Linked DNA regions of Lonchura striata. The protein of the gene in region 3 interacts with the protein of the main gene of each other region in a biochemical or structural test. Links are inferred from orthologs where the notes say so. Each region holds a gene or a part of one and is shown on either strand. Other genes may lie near its edges.

The links.
Region 1: the proteins of CTSB (region 3) and cystatin-A-like form a complex in vitro, tested with the Homo sapiens proteins (3 studies listed by BioGRID and IntAct, with this or other methods). The link is inferred for Lonchura striata from reciprocal best matches to the Homo sapiens genes CTSB and CSTA.
Region 2: the proteins of CTSB (region 3) and cystatin-B form a complex in vitro, tested with the Homo sapiens proteins (2 studies listed by BioGRID). The link is inferred for Lonchura striata from reciprocal best matches to the Homo sapiens genes CTSB and CSTB.

What each region holds. Positions count from the first base shown.
Region 1 is NC_134604.1:29,252,316-29,259,559, reverse strand, and holds the start of cystatin-A-like, read left to right. Parts: upstream 1-4,229; 5' UTR 4,230-7,244. UniProt on the Homo sapiens protein: This is an intracellular thiol proteinase inhibitor. Has an important role in desmosome-mediated cell-cell adhesion in the lower levels of the epidermis.
Region 2 is NC_134604.1:29,232,290-29,240,132, reverse strand, and holds the start of cystatin-B, read right to left. Parts: upstream 3,016-7,843; 5' UTR 2,946-3,015; coding exon 2,880-2,945; intron 1-2,879. Other genes in the region: CASR (extracellular calcium-sensing receptor), read right to left, coding at 6,874-7,843. UniProt on the Homo sapiens protein: This is an intracellular thiol proteinase inhibitor. Tightly binding reversible inhibitor of cathepsins L, H and B.
Region 3 is NC_134605.1:110,603,074-110,610,317, reverse strand, and holds the start of CTSB (cathepsin B), read right to left. Parts: upstream 3,018-7,244; 5' UTR 2,885-3,017; intron 2,685-2,884; exon of another isoform or gene 2,209-2,684; intron 1,665-2,208; exon of another isoform or gene 1,587-1,664; intron 1-1,586. UniProt on the Homo sapiens protein: Thiol protease which is believed to participate in intracellular degradation and turnover of proteins. Cleaves matrix extracellular phosphoglycoprotein MEPE. Involved in the solubilization of cross-linked TG/thyroglobulin in the thyroid follicle lumen.

The sequences.
Region 1 (7,244 bases), on a different chromosome or scaffold from region 3:
AGGAATAGAGCATGGGTAATTAGGATCTACTGCCAGGCTTGTTTAGTGAGTCTGCCTTCACTGTGCCCTTGCGGAGCTGTGTGTGCCTTGAGCACTGGCTGACTGGAAGGGACAGGCTCCCAGGGTGACTATGCATTGTGTCCTTTGGTTTGCACCATCAGAGGAGGTGTGCACCTGGTGCTGGGGTTAGGAGCTGGAAAGTTGTGTTGGTAGTAAATACTGAAGGCTGCAGTTTGACAATAACCCTTTTATCTCTTATTTTCTGCAGTTGAAATTGATGCAGTCGGAGCTCAATGTTGAAGAAGTGGTAAACGACAGAAGCTGGAAGGTACTCAGTCATTTAATAGTGATGATGTCCTGTCCCAACAGACATCGCAACAGATGTCCTGCACTGGAGGTGTGGGACTGGTGCCTTGTGAAGCAGATTAACTGGAAATAGATGAAGGCACTGCTAGGGGAAATGCTTCAAGTCAGTAATTTTCCCAGTTCTGTAAGCAGAGATCAAAGCTCTTCAGTTGCACTGCCAAGGAAGGACTGTGAATTATTCCCTGTGTCCCTTTCTCCCCCTTGCCAGTGGCTGAGCACTTGTAGGCTTTTCTGTGGTGACTTCTCTGAAGAGCTTTTCAGGGCCTCTAACAATGTCTGAGAGAAGAGTCTTTCACATTTGCCTGTATCTGGTGCTGATCACAACTCTGAGCAGAGCCCAGGGGAGGGTGAGGCTGTAGAAGCTGAACCTTTTCCTGATGGAGTTTCTTCGGGCCTGAACAGACACTCCGTGGTGCAGAGGGCAGCCTTGCCGTTGCTCTCCTGTGTCAGCAGAGGGTGCAGATCACCATCTGGATGATGGCCCTGAAGTCTATCCGGTGATTTTAGCACTGAGCTTAAGTTCTGAGGTGGCTGTATTGCGTCACTGCAGCATTTCACATCTGGCATCCTTTGCTGGTTTGATGTAGCTTCTCAGAGCTTTCAGTACTGCAGAGAGAACCTCTTTCCCTCTCTAAATGCAAAAAGGATTTTTGCAAATAGCCACTACTAGCTGCACCTTCCTTTTTAATCCCTACTTCATGATTTTAGTCTCCTAGATTACACCAGTGTAAAACCAATACAGCTTTGTGTCTTGGGTGTTCATCAGTAACCTCAGTGCAGGCTGATGAAATGAGCATTTACACAGTTTTCTGCATATGCATTGTCATCAGTACACCTCTGTAGTACTGTCCCAAAAAAGCTAAGCATGCACTTCAGTGTAGTTTTAAACCCACTCAGATCTGACTAAGCGATGCCACTGCCTTAACAACAACATGCTGCAGGTCACCAGGGGCAAATATTTTACAGTGACTCTGCTACAGGGGAACAGCCCCCACCCTAATCTTCCTTCTGAAGCACCAAATTTAGTAATGATTCTGGAGGCTTCTTGTAGCTGCATTAAGCTTTTACTGGTGGCAGAACTGTCTAATTTTTTCCTAAAGATGGAGAGTTTATAAACAGTGAGGTATGCATGGTGTAGGGGTACTTTAGGCTGCTGGTATATTCCTCAGCCAATGTTCAGAGTGGGGCTTGAAGAGATAAATATTTCTGAATTTTATCTCCAGTTCTGTTACACTGTGCTCTGAATATACACATAAATTTCTCCTTTAGCTGCTTGTTAAAATGTCAGTTAGAACCAGTCATGGTTGCAGACTGAATGCAATTTGTTACATGGATATGATTATTGGTGTGCAGGCTGGTGTTTCACTTTTGTGGACTTCTGGTTGGGAAGTACACTTGTGTATGTCCATTAATCCTAAACAACTGAAAACTAATGGGAAAAATCTGATTAGGAAACAGATGTTTAAACACTAGAGGCTGTAGCAATAGTGGCATACAGAATGCTCCTTTTGAGAAATGCATGTGGAATTTGGATCATACCATACCAGGAATAGAGTTTCAAACAAGACACTTGCAGTAGTCTCTATCCAGCACCTCTAGATTGGAGATTGGAGTTTATTGTTGGAGTGGTTTATGCAAATATGTAAAAGCCAGCAAAATCAAACTTTTGCATAGTTACATGCATTTTAATGTTTCTCAGCCATTGATTTTCCTGAAAAATGTCTGATAAATGAGACTAGCACTTTACAAGTAGACCAATGGAGTTAAATGGCCTTAGTAACACTAAGTAACACTAAGATCTGTGAGGCAATGATCCTAAAAGTAGGAGGCAGTGTTAGTAAGAGTGCAGTGTTGGTCTTCCTGCCATAGGTTGTGGAGTTACTGTTGAAGATACTTTGAAAGTTAGTGTGATAGCAAGCAAGCTGGTGTGTTCTTTGATGTTAGAGACCCTTGCAGTGCTTTAGAGAGCATTTCCAGCACCCTTTTAGACATTATTCCATTCAAATGTCATTAACAGACAATGGACAAAAAACGGTGTGATTTGTTCTTGAGTAAAATGTTTCTGAATTGGACTTCATGCTGTTGCTCTTAATTTCTACAGTTTCTTCCTATCACTGATCTCAAATCTTTACCTCACCTGAACTTTTCCAGAGGTGTCCATTCCATGTGGTAACATAATGGCTGCACGTTACTGTGTGTGAAAGAAACTATATCACAGCTTTTGCTTTCTGCAGTATGAATCAGTTTGTAATACATGTCTATTTCTTTAAATAAATTAAATTTGAAAGGTAGTTGAAAATTGCTCCAAAATTGTTGAGAAGTAATGCTGAAACTAATGTGTGCTCCAGGCTTCACTTTTGCTGAAGTTGCCGTAGGTTCTGAACTGTGAATAAGATCTGCTCTAGAAGATTTTAGGAAGATACAGCTTGAAACTGTATATTTATATAAAGTGTTGGATAACTTCCCCAAAATTACAAGATCACTCACTTTGCACATAAAGCCATTGGGAGAGTTCATGAAACTTCATATCCTGATGATCACAGGCACTTGGGTCTGCCACATCTCTGGACAGCTTGGCAAAATATGCTCTTGTGGGAATGCTGGCGGGACAACCAACAAACAACCTGCCAGAGCCTCAGCTTGGTGTCAGGTGGTGCTTGTGTCGCTTTCAGGACTTGTGCTGGACAAATTTGGATAAAAACTGATAAATCTAAATGGCTTATGAAGAGCACTTGCAACCTTGGTGGGAGGCTGTGTGGTTTGCTTTGGATTCAGGCTGCCTTTCTTTAAATAGTCACGTTTTTTGGCCCTCCTTAGGGTAGGATGGCAGCAGTTGAAGCTAAATATACACAATTCTCAGCGTCCAGTTCTGGAGGCTAAATTTTACCCAGAGAAGATGCCAGAGGTGAGTGAGGCAGGGGTGCTGTGCCCTTTGCACGGAGTGCTGGCAGCATTGGCACAGGCAGGCAGGTCACTGGAAGTGTGCATGTGGCTTTCAGGAGCCCTTGCCCCTCTTCTTGGCTGTCATGCCAATGTAAAATGTGCCTGCTCAGGAAAGACAGGAATTCAGCACCCAAGTTTGAATGCCAGAGTGAACCTAATAGAACACAACCATTCAGGAGCCTTCCCATGATTATTTCCCTCTCTTTTAAAAACAAAAAGGCATCAGCATTTTTGATGGTAACAGCCTGCCAGGATTAAGAGTCTGCATTTTCTGAGGGAGAACACTTAGTGCTGTGGAGTCTCCCAACATCAGGCTGCAGACTTTGGATTTACTAAAGCCAGGAGTCAAGGTGAATGGAGATGGATGTCTTGGTAAGTGCCATTTATTGATACCTCAGAGCTGGGCAGCTTGAGATGGGTGCTACATGAAGAAGTAGTCTGTGAAGTTCTGCTCATTTCCTGGATGGGGTTGATTCACTTTTGCTCTTCTGTTTTGGTGTCTCAGGTATTTAATGAGCGGTGCCGAATTCACTACAAGCCTCCGAAGAGTCAATGATGATGTGGGGTATTTTCCATCAAGGTGGTCCATAACTGTGAGAGCAAAACTGGAAAGAGACCTTGGGTGAGCTGAATTGGGACCCTCCAGAACCAGTAGAACCCAGTCTTGTTTTGTTTTGGACCTACTTAGATGAATTCTCAACTTGAAATGATTCTCCTGTAATTAAGAGAAAACAACTCATCTTTTGTACAAAATATGTGAACAAATGAGTTTTATAGTATTAAAACAATTTTCAATCGGAATGCAAAACTGGCATCTTTCTTGAACTTCCACAGCTTCAGTGATCCCAGAGGGGAAGAAAGAGTAAAACCTATCCTGAGCAGGGAGGAGAAGGCTCTCCCTGAGCTGGTGCCTACTAAAATATCAGTGAACATACTCTTTTTGTGGAAATAATCTGCTGAAGTCTGAAAGGAAGTAAAAATTGCAGACTGATCAACAGATGTATTAGATTCAGCATTGCTGAAAGTAAGACGTGACCAGCCTTGTTCTGAACTGCTCAGCATGAGCAGCAGTGGCTCAGAGCTGTGTATAGGCACAGGTTTGCCATTGCTCCTGCAATGCTGACAGGCAGCATCTGTTGCTTGCTGCCCTTTGGTCTGTGTTTGCAAGTTCTGGAGTTTTCCATTGTACAGGGGAAGTGGTGTATATTAAAACCACGTAACGTTGGAGCTGAAGATGTGTCTCATTTGGGAATGAGACTGCCAGGGACCCTTTTTTGTCCCTCTCTCTGAATATTTAAGAGTAGTTCTAAGGGTGAATTGTGTTTGAGCTGAGGAAACAGCTGTGCATACTTGATCCTGCTGATCCTGGCCGTGGTGTTGTGTTTAGAAAGCTTGAATGCAGCACCCCTGCAGTAACACAGCATTTAAAGGCAGATAAGTAGGAGGAAAGCTGAATTGTTGCAATTACACCTGTATATTTTACTTTTTATTTTGTATTTATCTCAGATAGGCTGACAGTGAAGTGACAAGGTCTGCGTGGTTGCCAGCTGATACGATCTTAAGAACCACTGAACTTAAACAGATCCCTAAAAATACAGGCCCTGTCTTGCAAATACTTTGGAATTCAGCAACAGCAATGAAATTACTGGATATACTCTCACATCCCTAAAGCTTTGCATATATAGGGAGTGGGAAATAAATGAAGCAATGTACCTGTGTTACTGAGAGCTGGCAAAGATCTGTGCAGCAGCATCTGTTTTATAGTTGCAGTTAAGACTCAAACTGCTTGGAAGCCTTTTATTTTTAGGCATCAGGGTCATTTTATCTCACCTTTTTTTGAGAATGAAGTAGAAATATATTTTAAATCTTTGAGGATGTAAATCCTAATGTTCAAACATCATTTTTCCCCCTCTTTTTTTCTTGAAGTACTGCAACTTCTTTATCCAGAACTTTGCGTTGGAGCACTCATTCTTGAAGATTTCTCCTTGTTTTTCTGCAACTCTGAAAGCAGAAAATGTGTTTATTCTTCAGTTGTTAAATTCTTATAATTGTTTGTCATCAAAGTGTAAATCAAATACTGCTCATCACTCTGGGCTGAATTGGCACTAAAGAAATTTCAACAGGAGACGATGATCAATTAATGAGATGTATAGAACACTAAGTTTTGGTTTCAAAGCTGGTACTTCATTATTTATTAGACACTCTACAAGGATAGGTGTCTAAAATATTTGTTCTCTCCAGGCCTTGGATCAACTGCAAGGACAAATTCTCCTTTTTAGCCAGTTGTACAATAGAAACTTCTATGAGTGTGTGTAGACTTGGGTCAATAGTCTTGAAATAATAATTTTTTATTTCTGTATAAACTAGAGACTGTAATGAGAATTAATCATTGTCTTCCTTTATCCATCCAGATGTTTGCTCAGCTGTTGTGGAAAGCTTCTTCACTTAAGCAGATGCTGTGATAAATTACCTGTGAAATGGATGTGATACACAGTTTTTTTTTTTTTTTTCTTTTTTTTGCATTAGTTATGAGGAAAACTATGTTAAAAAAATCCCAAAACCCACAACCCCAAAAACTCAGCCCAACACAGAATTATTTTCAGTTTGAATATAAGGCCAAGCTAGTAGTCCTATACAAACCTGAGTATGGAAAACTGCTACCATGAGAAGACTCCTGAATCCCCAGCATCCCTTCTTGGGGTGATTGCATACAGAGGGTTGCAGTAAGACATTGAATTGCTTTATACAGTTTGCTCTGAGTGCAGGGGGTGTCTCTTAACAGTAGTCCACAGCAAATCTGGTGGCTCAGAGGCAGCTTAACGTTGCTGTTGAACTTGATGGAACATGAAGGTGAGTAAATAGAAGTGCATGCCACGCTTTGGGTGCGGGCTGGAGGACACGGCTCTGCTGGTTCCTGAGAGCCTCAGAGCTGCGTGTGGAGCAGGATGTTCTGGAATGTGTGCAAACAGCATCGGTGTGAGCTGTGTGCCACACTGAACACAGGCCGGTAAATTCTGTGTCTAGGGACCCCTGAGGATTCCAGGATGGTGTTTAGTCAGGGATTGAACCTTGCCTCAACATTACCATTGAGGTAGTTACAAAATTACTGTTTGCTGTCATATTGGGGTCAAATAGTGGACACTACAAACAGCAGAATTTCTTCCTTTCTCTGGTTTTAAGTTCTATTTCTGCAAGTAAAGACATTTGAGCATAGCTGATGGCCGTGTCCAGAGTCCTGTGGATGCCTTGCCTCTCCCACTAGGGCTTTCCCATTGCTTGCAGGTGGTGAACAGAGGTGGGCAGATCCCACATGCTTGGAAAGTCCTCTCAAGCTTGTGCACCTTTCTTTCTGTGAAATAGAAAGATGTGTTGTTCTTTTTCTAGCATTCAGTGCTGTTGTCTTCTGCAGCCTGTAGGCATGAAAGACTGATGAAACAGGTAATTTCTTTATAGAATATTTTTAACAGTAGATTTCAGTTGTCTTGAAGCAGACTGAGAGGAAGAGGCTCAGCATAGGCTGGGCCATGATAACTGTGCTGCTGAAGGTCAGGTTTCTGTTGATCCTTTTTCATGTACAATGTCAGAAATCTTTCAAAATTGGGATGGGTAGCAGGAGTGGAAGCCTTTTTTGCAGACCAGCACATTGAAAATCAAGGCTGTTCCTGTGATGATGAGAGCAGATCTTCACCTGGTACATGGAGGGCTGCTTTCCTCTAGAAGCTCTTAAAGACATTCAGATCATGTCATGTGCAGCCACAATTACATGTCACTGTGAAACCAGAAGACTGACCTTACTGACTTGGCTTTCACAATCATTTCTACAGAGCTGACTTCATTCCTGCTTTAAAAATTACTTGTAAATACATAACCCTGGGGTTTGGATTTGGTGGAGGTTAATTTTTTTTGCTTTTTTTTGTACTGGTGTTTTTATCAGC
Region 2 (7,843 bases), on a different chromosome or scaffold from region 3:
ACCATTCCTGCAATGGGGTGTGTTCTCCCACCTCTCCAACTCCCAGAACTCTGGTGCCTTTTCAGTGACCATCCTGTCCCTGAGAGCTGTGACCATGCTTTTTATCTCCTCTCAGAGGCCATACCTCTACACTTCCTCCAGATTATGATCAGTATGTCACAAGCAAGATAATGATGTTTGAACACTTTCCTGTTTGTTCTTTGCCATACGGGAATCCAAGCTGCATTCTAAGAAACACCATGATTCACTCCTGCCTCCTCCCCTTCTCCCGAGTCAGAGGTTGGAGCAAGTGTTCAGTTTTCATCACACTTTTACAAATTTTAAGCAGCAGGGCAGACATAGGTCTCCCACTGACCCTATCCTGTCCTGTGCTCCTTTAGCAATCCTAGGCACTGGGCAGCATTAGTTTCTGAGGTCACTCAATCACTCCAGCTCAGCACATTTTTTGTTTCCACCAGGAAGCTGAACACTGGACCCTGGCTACAGACAGCTCAGAGTCCTGCAGCTGCAAGCTTGTCAGGGTGTTTGTGAGTCACCACAGCATGTGACAAACCAGCATCCTGCCTCAGTGTGCAGAGGGAGATCCCAGACAGAAATACTCTCCCAAAGACCTGGTTCTTGATCTCAGTCTGGATTTGGGAATCCTGGAGTACAGGAGCCAGCACTGTGTCCTAGTGGTACAAAGTTAATGGCATACTGGGCTGCATCAGCAGGAGCCTAGCCAGAAGACAGGGGAGTGATTATTACCCTTTACTCGGCCTTTGTCAGAAAATGTGGAATCCTGCACCCAGTTCTGGGCCCCCAGTACAAGCCAGACACCAATGAACTGTAGTGAGCCCAGTGAAGGGTCACCAGGAGCACTCCACGAGCACACCAGGATGGCTGGAGCACTTGTGCTGTGAGGAGAGGAAGAAAATGAGCTTACTCAGCCCAGGGAAGAGAAGGCTTTGAAGAAAACTTTCCAGTACCTACAAGAAGCCAGGGTCTTTACAGGGATGAAATTTTCCACAGGGCACAAGAATGAGACACAGTGGTCATAAACTGAAACTGGAGGTTCAGGCTGGATATCATGAGAAACCTTTCCCCTGAGGACTGCACTACAGCAGGAGTCCATCCTTGGAAGTTTTCAAGACTGACAGGACAAAGTTCTGAGCAGCCTGAGGATGCTGACCCTGTGCTCATGCAGGAGGTGCAGTCCCTTCCCACCCAAACAATCCATGATTCAGTCACAGGGCTGGAAATGATCATGCCCTGAAGACTCTCCACTGCCCTGCATGGCCTATTTGCCCTGCACTGCCAGAGCAGTTAAATAAAAAGCAGATGGTTCACAATCACCCTGGATAAGCTCTGCCACAATTACCAGTGAGGAGCCAAAGCTGAACAGGCCTGGCTGGAAATCCTTGCTGTGAGGAGGCTGTTCCTATGGGATTCCTAAGCCAGACACTGCCAAAGGAAGCCTTCCTGCCCTGTGTGACACTACACCCGCTGTGGGTCACAAAACTGAACAACATTTGGCCATCACAAGGATGCTTATGAAACTGTAAAATGAAGGCAAGAACTGGAAAAGCAGGAACGGGGAATATGTTTATGGCAAGCAAACTGGCAGACTCTAATAAATCTCCAAAAAGACCTGACTTTTAAGCAAACAAAATTATTTGAGAAGGCTACATTGATTTAACAAAACTAATGTTTTCTCCAGCAGTGTCCAGATGAGAATCTGAGTGCATGGGCAAGTTTCAAGTGTGAGTTTTCCCACCTGTATTTCATTAAAGGAAGTAATTTAAACTGGCAGCCAAAACAAGCTGGATAAACTTTAAAAGTATTTACGTGATTTAAATGAGGGTTTTTTTGTTAATTCTGCTCACTTCTGAATCCAACAGGGTTTTGTTTTTGGATTATCAAACCACTGCAGTGTGCTACAGAACAAAAAGTCAGGATTTCAAACCTAGTTTTAAGCCCATGTTAAGTGCATATCTGCATTACCTTTAACGTGACATGTAAGCCTTTTCAGGTCAAAGCAATAATTGCAACTCTCAGCAATTCTCAATTATGTGCTTATTACTGCAAACTCAGGCTGGTGCTTAGGAGACGCACATCTCTCCCTTTTCCTAAAACACAGAATCCTCAGACTGTACAAGGCAAATGTTCATTTCAGTAGCTGCTGTGCCTCTGGGTGCTATGTATGTGTTTGGGAACTCCTCCTGCCTGGGGAACAGGCTCAGGCAATGACAAAGTGTCAGAAGCTGGAGCGCATTCTTAACTGTTGCTCTCTAGCTTACCACATCTTAGTCGACAAAGGCAAAAAGCAGAAGGAACTTGAGTTTCTGTGACAAAAAGAAGAACGTGTGGTTTGAAGGAACTTAGTTGCACGATGGCGTTTTTAGAGTAAAAGCATTTGCTCCAATAACACGAGCAGTAACCTCAGGTACTTTAAGTAGTATCAGGATTTGGAGCCGAATTCTGTGTTGGGGAAAAGCAGACGCAGCAAAGAAGCTTTCTTGCTTATTCCACGTTTCACCCCCTCAAAAATAAACACAACAAACAATCCCCCCTTTCCCAGGCACAGAACGAAAGCCCAAAGGCATGCACAGGGTCGGATTCTGTCAGCAGCACAGGAGCTCGCTCGCTGAAGGCAGTGGCTCTGCCGGGTTTCCCCGGCGCTGCCCACGGCCCCGCGGAGCCAGCCGGGCCGCAGGGAAGGAGCTCCGGGAGCCGCCGGCTGCTCCGCGCACGGCCCGTTCCTGCCCCGCTCTACACCGGGGGCGGCGTCCCGGCGCTCAGCCGCGGAGCAATGGCCGAGCCCACGCTGGGCCCCGGACAGGCCCGCACGGGCCTTCCCCGCCTGCGGGACGCTCCCGGGCCGCGCCCCGGCCGCTCACCTGCTCCGCGATCCGCTGCGTCTCCTCGGTGGCGGGCCGGGCCGCCGAGGCACCCCCGCACAACATGGCAGCGGCGGCACAGCGGCAGCAGCGGCGCTCCGCTCCGCCCGGGGCCGCCCCTCGGCCGTGCCGGGCGGTGCCGGGCCGGGCTGCAGCCCGCGGGCGGGAGCGGCCGGGCCCGGCTCCGCCCAGCCGGGCTGCGGTCAGCGCGGCCCAGCGGGACCGATCGAAGACAAAACCAGCCTGAGGCGACGCTCGCTGCCGGCAGGATTTATTCGGCGCCCCGCACGGAAGGGCTGCTCAGCGAGCGGCGCCTCCGTGCCAGCCCGGAGGGGACAGGGCCGCCGCCCTCAGCCGCTGCGGTTCCTCCCCGCGCCGCCTTTCCCCGCAGCGCCCCGCTCCCTCCGCCGCCTGGAAGCGGCCGTCTCCCGACTCCCTCGCTCACCACGTTCATCATTCCCTCTCCCACGCTGATTTTGCCGCCCCCCAGCCAGCAAGCTGAAGGCGGTGGTGAATTACCCAACCTCTGGGACATCCCTGGGGAGATTTTAGTTTGAACATTCAGGTCTTTACCTAAATTTCCTCACAATTTAAACATCCAGACTTGCAAAACCAACAACAAACACCTACCTTCCTCCTCCCACTTGGCAGCACCCCTTGGTAAATTTGGTCAATATAAACCTAAATTTAACAATAGCAGGTATTACAAACTGAACAGAGCTCACGGATTGATGAGGAGGACATGGTGAAATATAATGAAATATAATGGGGAAGGTTTTCTTTCCTCTGGTATAGTCTATAAATAAAGCCTCTGCTGGGGCTTTCAGTAGGCAGAGTTCTGCCAGGCTTGTCAGGAGACTGGGAATGAAGGGTTGGGCTCTTCACTGAGGTGGTTCCCAAGTTTTGCAGTGGAAATCCCACCAGAGACCTGATACACTGTTGTTGTTTCGCACTGGACAGTTCAGGAAACCTCACACTGAGGCAAACTTTCTGGTGGATTTTTGAGCCATGGTGGGTGGGATGAGGCATTCATGTGGGCATCTTCTGGTAGGAAATGTCAGTGGAGGTGCTCAGGCTTTCAACAGAAGAATGTTCCCCAGCATGACTTCATGAGTGCTGTCCGGAGCAAGCCTTCTCCTCTCCTGGACCTCACAGGATGAGAACATATCCACCTCTCCTTGCATGGGAAAAGGGATTTGGTTACAAAGCACCTTCCCAAAGGGGTCCTTTTTTACTGAACTTCCCTTGTGTCCAGCGTGTGTGCGCTGCTATCAGCTGCAGCAGCAGCTCTCATGCAGCATTGGAGCTGCAGGCTTAGGACTCCATGTATGAGAGCACGGAGGGTGAAAGGGGCTTCCCCAGCAAATACAGTGCAGTTGGCCATGCTAAAAAATGATTGCAGCTCTTGGAGACTCATTGTGTGCCAGGGTATAAATTCCTTTTAAGTAAATGTAAATAATTAAAAACACCCAAGGAATGAAAAGCACCCAAATGCATAGCTAGTATACACAGCTAGTGAATATTGCTCTCCAGACAAGGCAGCTGATGGTGACTTTCTGTTTCTTACATTGCCTGTGTTTGTACACAGTCTTTGGTTTGCACAAGTAAATGGTATTATTTTAATTTCATTCATTGAACTCTTACATGTTTCAGTGCTGTCAGCTTCACTTCAAGGGTTGTTGAGCTGGGTTTGCTCCAGTAGAAATGATTCACTAGCACTAAAACTACTTGGCTATTGGAATTTTTGGAAGTGTAGGCCATAACCAAAATGCCTTTTTTAGACCTCTCTGCCATCTAGTGCTCATCCCTGCTTGTGCAGTTAGATTCAGGAGCCCCTGGAGCTCAATTCCGTACCCTAAACTGAGCCCACTGCCACAGTCAGCAGCCTGGGGAAGGGACCTAGGTTTCAGAAGCAGTAAGCATCTCTTGTCTGGGTCCAGGGGCAAAATGTAGTTTCCAAAATTTGGGCTGGAAAGATTTGTGTTTTCAAACTCACTTCCCTCCCCCTCCCACCTCAATCATCTGAGTCAGATTTTTAATCAAATATTGTGATTTGCAAGCCTTGCAATTATAGTTGAGTTGGTCCTTATGTGGTGTAGTTAAAATTTGAGCCCAGTCCAAGGGGGATGTAACAGATCAACAAAAGGGTTATAACAACTGGTCTGAATAGCCTGCTTCTTCGGATTCTGGACTTCCACTTTGCTCCTGTTAGTCAAAACTTCTCTTCCTTGTCAACAAGTGGAGGTGGCAAAACAAAGTTTTTATACAGTAATCTCACCTGTAAGTTTTATTTGCCTGCCCTGGCAGAAGAACAACCAAGCAAAAACAATAACAAGAGAGTTGTGGTGTTTCCCCCAATGCATTTGAACACAGTCCTTTTGTCTCTTCTCACACTGAGCTGCAGGCCCATCTACCTTTCTAGAAGAGGTCTAGACTACCTTCATGCTCAATGAGGGAGGGTACTGACATCTTCCTGACAGATGCTTGATCTTCCATGGGGAATCTGGGAAGAAGGAATTAAATTCTGCAATGTAACCCTAGCCCTCCCTTCCAGGCTGTCCAGGGATGTTTCTTCTCTCATCAGGCTGCAACAAATCTCTCTGCAAATGACTCTCTTCAACTTTTCCAGCACAAATCAAAAAGAACGAGGCATGCCTTGAAAAACCAGGCGCACTTATGTCTGCTTTAGGAAGAGTAGGACAAGAGTAATCAAGTTCTGCTATGCTCTCTGCTGACATCCTTAGTGTTTTGCGTTAGGTACAGCCCACCATTCTTGTGATACGTCCACCTCTCTTCAAATTGAGAAATAACCTAGTAGGTGGCCTTTAGGAGCAAAACTGTATTCAGTTCATCTATTTGTCACTTATGTGTGTCTAAGAACCTAGGCCTGAATGTCTTTCTCACCCAGTCATCTACCATCATGAACACTTCAGATATTCACCTGCTCTGGTGATCCCATTACCTCCTCCATCCCTAACTCCTCCATTTCCCCTTGTTTCATTTGCTGTGTCAGGCCCACCAGTACCGCCAGGACTGTCGCAATGTTCTGTGTAGGTGTGAGGCAGATTAATACAGCAAAGCACAACACTGACTATGGTGTGAAAGGGTTAGCCATGTATGCCTTGTGGGATAGTACAGCAGCAACACTTGGTTAAGCACACAACTACTAGCGACATAATCAGGGATACATCTCATTGTGCTTTTGCAGCGTTCTCTGGGAGGGCTTTACAAGCTGTTCTCCCCCTCCACCAAAGCAGGCAGGCTGGAGGTAAAGCTATTCCAGTTGGAGGAAACCAGTAGGAACCTAAGTAGCTTGGTCTAGTGCAATGGAGTCTACGGAGAGTATTGTCCAGTATTTCCTGTTGGGCTGAAAGGAGAGACTGGGACATTACTAAATATAAATAGCAGGGCGCTCTGTCACATTAAATACTTTACATGTTCACACCCTTGGCTGTACACAGCATGCAGGATGTTGGGGGCTTTTTTATTTTCCCCATGATTGTGCTTTCCTGAAGTGAAACCGTGTACCTTGCTTTTGTAGAGCTGAGAGTCCTGACGCACATGGTTACAGATCACATATACTGGATAAAGAGGGAATATCATACATAGTGGGAAAGAGGAATATTATACATAAATGTAAAAGCAGGGTATAGTGGAATTGCCTAGTGCCTCCCATAGTCAGCTGAGTTGCAGTCTGGCAGGAAAAGCTTAAGGAGGCGAGGCAGCATGCAGACTTCTGCTTAAGCCCCACCCAAGGCGATCTTCACTTGTCCTTCTGAGATGTCCTGGTTTCAATAAAGCAAATGCAAATTCAGTCCAAGGCTCCCCAGACACAGTCCTTCCTCTGGAGGCACATGTGCTACCCTGCCGACGCTAACTTTAAGGTGTGGTGGGGCTGTATCACAGCAGTGTGTCTTTGTTACCTTTCCCGTTCAGAAGCAAGAGGTGAGCAAGTTCCTCTCGGGCCTGGTGTACTTTTCGCAATCTTCTTTCGTTAGGAATGTACCGTATTCTCTGTGACAGAGCCACCTCCGGCGCCTATAAAATTTCGGGAGTTAACCGACGGCAGGGAAGGCTCTGCCTCAGGGTTTGGTCCCTCTTCTTTGTTGTCTCCTGCCACCGACTCCTGTGAGCTGGTCTCTGGGCTGGAAGCTGCCTGGAAGCCAGGCTCAGCCCCGAGGGGCTCATTGATCTGCAGGGGAAGCAGGGCCCGGTGCCGCATCAGGCTGTCGTCACTGTTCTGGGCCTCCAGCGAGTTCCGGCGCTTGGCGTTCCTGCTGGCCATGGCGTTCTTCTGTGGCTCCTCGAAGCTCAGCGACAGGGTGACCGTTCCACTCCCAAAGCTGACTTTCTGCTTGCACCCGCGCTGCTGCTGGCGCTGCCGCTCGGCGCAGGCTGGTAGAGGAAAAGGGTCCTCGTGGTTGCTCTTGCTGCTGATGGAGGAGGAAGGGGTGGAGCCGGTGGAGCCTCCCAGGCTGTTGGAGCGCTTGCGGGACACGTTGCTCCGTCTCAGTGTGGCCCTGGCAGCCACTTTGAAAGCGTGGGCAGCTGTGCTGCAGCGCACCTCCTCGATTGTGTTGCGGGAGGGCTTGAAGAGGATGATGTAGACTTTGTTGAAGAAGATGCAGGCCAGAAGCCCAAAGCTGGCAGCCAGTATTGCAATCACTTCCACAGCAGACACGAACTTGCCGTACGTGCTGGCGTAAGCAGGGATGAAGGAGATCCACACGATGAAGAATATCAGCATGCTGAAGGTGATGAACTTGGCCTCGTTAAAATTCTCAGGCAGCTTTCGAGACTTGAAGGCGAAGAAGAAACAGATGGCTGCCAGTAGGCAGGTGTAGCCAATGAGGAAGCCGAGGGCCATCAGGGAGCCTTCATGGCAGGTGATAAATATGATCTCATCCTCCAGTTCATGGTTTCGGTAACTGGATGGTGGGGCCGTATAGAGCCAAATCACACAG
Region 3 (7,244 bases):
AGATGGGAAGGAATTTGGAATATTGGGAAAGAATTGTTGCCTGTGAGGGTGGTGAGGCACTAGAACAGGGTGCCCCAAGAAATGGGGGATGCCTCATCCCAAAAAACATTCAGCGTCAGGTTGGACAGGGCTCTGAGCAACCTGACATACAGCTAAAATACACAGTTAAAATGTCCCTGCCCATGGCAAAGAGGTTGGAATGATATGCCCTTTTAAACACTCCTTCCACCCCACATCTTTCTATTATTCTACGAGGTCTCCTATGGCTGCAGAGTTTGGGGTGGTGAGAGCTGACACCCAAGATCAGGTATGTCACGATCTGTCTGGAAAAGGAAGGGGAAATCCTCACCCCCGTGGGATTTCTTCCTCCCTAACCCCCCCTCTCCCAGGCTTTATCCTGTGTTCAGCGGGTCTATAAATAGGACACAGGCACGGGACTGGCAGGACGGATTCCCACTGACCGTGGCTCATGTGCAGCCCAACCACAACAAGCCCAGAGACCCGACAGTGACTAAAAGCTGCTGGTTTCCTCCCTCACCCCCTGTCCCAGCTGATCCGAGCAGCAAAGCTTCCCCTGGCAGTGTTATCACCCTGGTGCTTCCCCCAGCACCGCTATCTCCTCCTCACACCTAAAACCTCAGGGCCGTTTGAACCCCAGAGCAGCCCCAAAACCAAAATTGCATCGCAGCTGCCGCACCCCAACATCTGCTCCCCGCTTCGTGCACAGCAAACAGGGCAGAGGAGTTTCCCCAGGAACCCCAGCAGATCCTTTCCCTCTGCACCCCACAACATCTCCAGAGGTGCCTCAGCTTCAGGATAACCCTGGCTAAGGCTGATCCACAGCTCACATCCCACCACCCTGGAAACAACACAAGGCTCTTGGGCTTCTCAGGACACAGCAGCTTCACCCTGCAGAATTCCCCAGGTGGCAGGAGATGTCTGGGGCGGGCAAAGAGCCCCTTGGGTTGCTCCACCTTCCCCTGGACTGAGAGCAGGGAATACTTTGAGATCCAAAGCATCTGCTAATGTCATTTCTTGAAGGATGAAGAAGAAATAAGCAAGAAATGAACACCCACCAGCACACCTGCCCCTGGGTGGGACAGGACACTCACGATTCAGCCAGCTGGCCGCTCAGAAAGAGGAAATTTGGGCCAGCTGAGCACAGCCCCTCTCCCAGGCAGAGAGGAGGAGGCAGCGGAGGTTCTGCAGGAGCTGCTGCAGCCTGCGAGGGAGGAGAGCACCCGCAGGGCTGTGGCTGTGCTGGTGCTGCAGCATCCACCCACAGCCCTCTGAGCTGCCGCAGCGGAGGAGGAGACACCACCCAAGAGCCATCTCCATCCCTCCTGAGCAGGTCGGGGAGCCAGGGCAGCTCCCCGCCTGTTTTCTGGAGGATGGAGCTCCTGACAGTCGAACCCTGGCATCCCAACCTCAGCAGGACCCCACATCACCCTCCCAAGCAGCCAAGCAGCGAATCCCTTCACTCTTGGGTGTCCTTCCCCAAAACAAAGCCCACAAGTCCCATTTAACTTCATTTAAGAAAAAGCAACAACCCAACCCCCAAACCGGCTATTCCGAGCCCAGCTCACATGACTCAGCCGAGGCAGCTCAGACCACAGATAAGACACAGCCCTGCAGCATCTCCCAGCTCTGCACTGTCTGGGCCAACCCCCTGCAGGCACAGACAGAGGCGTCCACACCTCCTGCAAGGCTCTGAGGAAGGTAAAAGCTGTCCCACCCTCCCTTCCACAACACCCCCCAGCCCTCCAGGGGTGCTCAGCACAGCCCAAATCATGTGTCCTGCTCAGCACCAGCCTTTGTCCTTTGTTCTCTCTGCCAGGGCTTGTGACTCCAAGCCACAACAAAGCGAACCCAGCGAGGTTCAGCTCCAGCTCCCGATCCAGCTCAGCCTGCTGTGTCACCAGGTGAGCTTGGCAGCACCAAACCCGTGCTCTGCTGACTTCATCACAGCTCTCGCTGCCTTACCGCAGCTTAAATTATTTTTTCATCGAGAAAAAAACAATATCAGGCGCTCCTCCCTACGCTTATTCCCTCCTAGCAAAGCCGGATCACTAACACAGGTCAGGTAACAGAATCCTAGAGATCTGAGTTGGAAGAGATCCTAAAGGTGATCTAATTTCAACCCTACTAGACCTGGCTGCTCTGTATCTGACAAAGTCATTCCCTCCTGAGACAAGCTGCAGCACTCACCTCCGCAGCTTCCGTGCACAGAAAGCACAAGATTCTTCCCAAATGAAGCTGTACTGATTTTTAATTCCCTCTTCTTACAGACCAGCCCATAAACCAGAGTCTTGCACAAACCCCCACACACCCCGTGCTACGGAAATCCCTTCCTTCGAGGGAAATGCCAGGAGGAAGCGATCTTTGCTACCTCACGCCCGCAGAGCATCCCCGAGAGTGGGATACGGGGATGGGAGATTTATTCCAGGCCAGAGGGACGCAGGGCAGCTTCTCCAGCGCCATTCCCAAGCCGTGGTCCCGCTCCGAACCCAGGCTGGGCTGTGCATCACGGGATGCTCCCAGGGTGCCAAAGCGACCTCGGCGTCAGCTGACGGGCAGAGCTGCGCGGTTTTCCTGTCTCGATCACAAAAACAAGGCTTCCTCTCCCCTCCCGTGACCTTTCTTGAAGGTTTGATGCGTTTCGAGGGTTCATTTTCCGGGCAACAATCCGCGCCGCAGCGCATCTCCCTCCCTCACCCCGCATCCCGCATCCCGCACTAGCCCAAAAAAATCCCCCAAAACGCCGCTGGAAAAAGCGGGAGACGCTGCTGCTGTTGTCCCTGCGGGTGCTCCGTGGCTCTCACGGAGCCGTGCAAGGGGGTGCCCCATTGCCGTGTGCCCTGGCCCTAAGCATCCCCTCCCTTACCGCTTCTTACGCGCGTCCGCGGCTCTCCCCGGGACCCACCGGGACCCACCGGCGCTCACGGCCCCGCTCGGCAGCCACGGCCAGGGCAGCTCCCGGAGGCTGAGTCATGCCGGGCTGCCCGCCCCCGGCGTGACAGCATCCTGCCTGCTGCCCGCCCCCAGAGCCCGCCTCCCTCCCTCCTTCCATCCTTCCAGCCAGCCGTCCCTGCTCCCGGCTCCATCCCTGCTCCTCCCTGCTTCCCTCCTTCCTCCCTCCTTCCTCCATCCCTGCTCGTCCCTGCTTCCCTCCTTCCTCCATCCCTGCTCCTCCCTGCTTCCCTCCTTCCTCCATCCCTGCTCCCGGCTCCATCCCTGCTCCTCCCTGCTTCCCTCCTTCCTCCATCCCTGCTCCTCACTGCTTCCCTCCTTCCTCCATCCCTGCTCCCGGCTCCATCCCTGCTCCTCACTGCTTCCTTCTTTCCTCCTGTCTGCTTCCCTTCTGCCTCCATCCCTGCTCCTCACTGCTTCCCTTCTTCCTCCATCCCTGCTCCCGGCTCCATCCCTGCTCCTCCCTGCTTCCCTCCTTCCTCCATCCCTGCTCCTCCCTGCTTCCCTCCTTCCTCCATCCCTGCTCCCGGCTCCATCCCTGCTCCTCACTGCTTCCTTCTTTCCTCCTGCCTGCTTCCCTTCTGCCTCCATCCCTGTCCCTGCAGGCTTCCATCAATCCTGCCTGCACCCCTGCTCTGCTTCCATCCCTCCGTCCCACCTGCTTTTCATACCTCCATCCTTCCTGCATCCTTCCTTCCTCAATTCCACCTCCAGCCCACCTGTATCCCTCCTCCAGCCTGTCTCTGACCTTCCTCGATCCCAAAGATGTTCTGCCCCTGCCATCCCGTCCTGCATCTTCCCTCCTGCCTTTTTCCCTTTGTGCTGCACTCCATCCCATTTCCTTTTCACCTTCCAAGCTGCCTGATTCCTCCTCAATCCCACCTGCATCCCACCTTTATCCTGGTTTAATCCCATCCATATCCTTCCTGCTTTCTTCCTCCATCCCATCTCCATCCCATCTAGTTTTCCTCCAGCAACCTGTCTGGATTTTTCCTGTATCCCACCCTTTGCTATCCTGTCTCCATCCTGCCTCTATACCTTTTCCTTCCCATTTCTCTCCTCCAGCTGGCCTCTCTCCCATCTACTTTTCCTCCTCCAGCCTGCCTGTATCCTTCCTAAACCCTTCTGCATCCCACACGCATCCCTTTTCAACTCCACCTGCATCACACAGGTTGCCCAGAGAAGCTGTGGCTGCCCCTGGATCCCTGGAAGTGTCCAAGGCCAGGTTGGACAGGGCTTGGAGCAGCCTGGGATAGTGGAAGATGTCCCTGCCCATGGCAGGGGTGGAATGGGATGAGCTTTAAGGTCCCTTCCCCCCCAAACCATTCTGGGGTTCTGTGATCCTCCTGCTTCCCTCTTCCAGCCTGCCTCTCTCCCATCTAATTTTCCTACTCCAACCTCCTTGCACCCCACCACTATCCCGTCTCCATGCTGTCCTGTCAGCATCTCTTGAAGTTTTCATCTGGAAATACAGAAATATTTCACTGTGTTACTGTGCTGACTGACACTTTTTCCCTCATTTTGGCCAATCTTCAGGAGTATGAACAACAGAAAAATAATCTCAGGAACCAGTTTCAAGCCCTGTACTAAACCACAATTACACTAAACCTTCTCTTTAATGAGAAAAACTATATTTTTTTATTATTTTATCACCCTTCTCTGTGAGGAGGAGGTAAAAACTATACTCCCCACCATTCTCAGAAATGAAAAGACCATGTGGCCTGGATCAAAAAAATAATTAATCAGTGATCAAAAAACAGTGAGCATATTCCTTTTTCCCCCTGTTTCCATTTATATCAATCAATTTTTTGTCACACTCACATTTTAAAGGTTGATTTTGGTTTGTGAAGATTTCCTAGTGAAGTGATGAGAAAAATCAGAATAGCATTTAATACACTTGACTGTACAACCCAGCATTTAGGCAGTAAAATGGGAGATGTATTTGATGTGTTTAAATGTTTTTATTCTTCGATGCTCTGTGTGCAATGGCCCTTGGACCATTGCATGCCTTTGCATGTAATATTTAACCACCCCTTCACTATGTTTTTATTTGTGCCTTAACAATTAAAATATTTTTTTAAAAAATCAGTTGTAATTTGCCTGACTTCCCTCTGACTCCACAGGATTTCTTCTCTCTCCTTTGAAGGTTGATTTCAGTTTTCCACATTGTCTGCAAGGTTTTATTGGCATAAAATACAGGAGAAATAACCTGGATTTTGTCCTGCCCTTTGTACAATCTGGCTCCAAAAGCCTCAGTGCCTCCAGTTGTGTGGAGCTGCAGTCAGGACATCACTGAACTCTGATTTATTCCAGTAACTCGGTCAGTTCCCTCTGAATTCCCCACACCTCCTTATTTCCAGCTAGCTTTTCACCCAGAAGTCACAAAATAGTGATTTTAAACCTGTGCAGTCCCATAAAACACCTTTTATTTTGCCTTGCTCTGAGTCACCAGGGAGCCCATCCTTCAGGCTCTGCTGGTGTCCTCTGTGGGCTGAGGGACCAGCCACCTGTTTTCCCTACAAAGATTTGGTGTCTTTTTCAAGAAATGAAAGTATGAACTAAAATTTTGCACAGAGTGCTGACTTTCTGCCCTTTTTGAGGAAGTGTCAAAGTTGCTTCCCCTATTGCTGTTAGTCTGGACTGAGAACATGTCAGTTTTTGAGATAATATGATCATTTTTGAGATAAAATGCTCCAGAGGCTGGAGCTCTCAAGCCTGGCTGGGAGAGCTGGGGGTGCTCACCTGGAGAAGAGAAGGATCCAGGGAGAGCTCAGAGCCCCTTCCAGTGCCTAAAGGGGCTCCAGGAGAGCTGGAGAGGGACTTGGGACAAGGGATGGAGGGACTGGACAAGGGGCAATGGGTATGATGGGATATTGGGAAGGAATTGTTCCCTGTGAGGGTGGTGAGGCCTTGGCACAGGGTGCCCAGAGAAGCTGTGGCTTCCCTGGAAGTGTCCAAGGCCAGGTTGGATGGGGCTTGGAGAAACCTGGGATAGTGGAAGGTGTCCCTGGCAATGGCAGGGGGTGGAATGGGATGAACTTTTAAGGTCATTCCGACCCAAACCATTCTGTGGTTCAATTATAATTTGTTTTTATATATGATGCTGAATGCAGCCAGGAAAGTTTCCCCATTTGAGACTTCCCAGAGAGTTCAAAAATCCCTTGTGTGCCCAAACCAGGCATGAAACAAATCCCCTTTTTATCTCATCGTATTTTTATAGCATATCAGAAAAAAAAAAAAGAATGGTGTTTGCTGAGGCTTTGGCCTTTGGAACAAAATCCAACACTACAGGAACAAGATAAGGAAATGGGTCAGGAGGCCTTGGGCAATCTTCTCTTATCACTTGTTAAATCAGTGTTGATTGAATCATGGTGAGCCTGCTTCAGCACTGAACAACAAATAGCTCTTAAGGAGGCTGCTGAAGGACCAACACCTATAGGTTTTAGAAAAAAATTTCTGTGTATATTCATTCCCTACCATAATATTTTTGTGGTCCTAATTAATGCAGGGGTGGCTTTTTTCATCTTCAGGGTTTAAAACCATCATTGCTTACAAAAAGAGCATGAAATGCAGGTTTATTTAATAACCAAATAGATCTGCTTTGCTTGGGGTAGTGGTGAATTGTGCTCCTCCCTGAGCTCAAAGCCTGTCTGGGCTGCTGGATCTCCTTTGGGGAATATCCACCCAGATTTTTCCTGATTCATCATTTTCTGATGCTTTTAAACTGTAATTTTACTGCTCAAGCAGCACTACAATATTTGCTTCTGAAGTTTTTTTAATTCCTGGCTCTTTGTCCCTCTTTGAACATCATCCCAGGAAGTGTCCAAGGCCAGGTTGGATAGGGCTTGCAGCAACTTGGGATAGTGGGAGCTGTCCCTGGCCATGGCAGGGGGTTGAAAGGAGACAAGCTTTAAAGTTCCTTCCAACCCAAGTATTTCTGTGACTCCAAGATTTCTGTGGCATGATTTGGCAGCTGACTTGCTCTCCCTGGCAGCAGCAGAACATCTGTGAGGCCTTGATGGGAATAATGATGGTTATTACACGGCTGCATCAGCTGCCAAGGTAAAATACTCACCCAGGGCAACTAAAACAGGATTTTATAAAGCCATAACGCTGCCTAAGAAATCCTTGCTGGATGGGTTGGGCCCTGATGTTATCCTCACCTCTCCCATGGGAGCTGGGTAATCCTGAGCTCCAATCCTCACCCCCCAAGCATTCAGTGTCTGCCAGAGTCACAGCTGGAGCACGTGGCTTTAAAAAACTCACTGGAATAT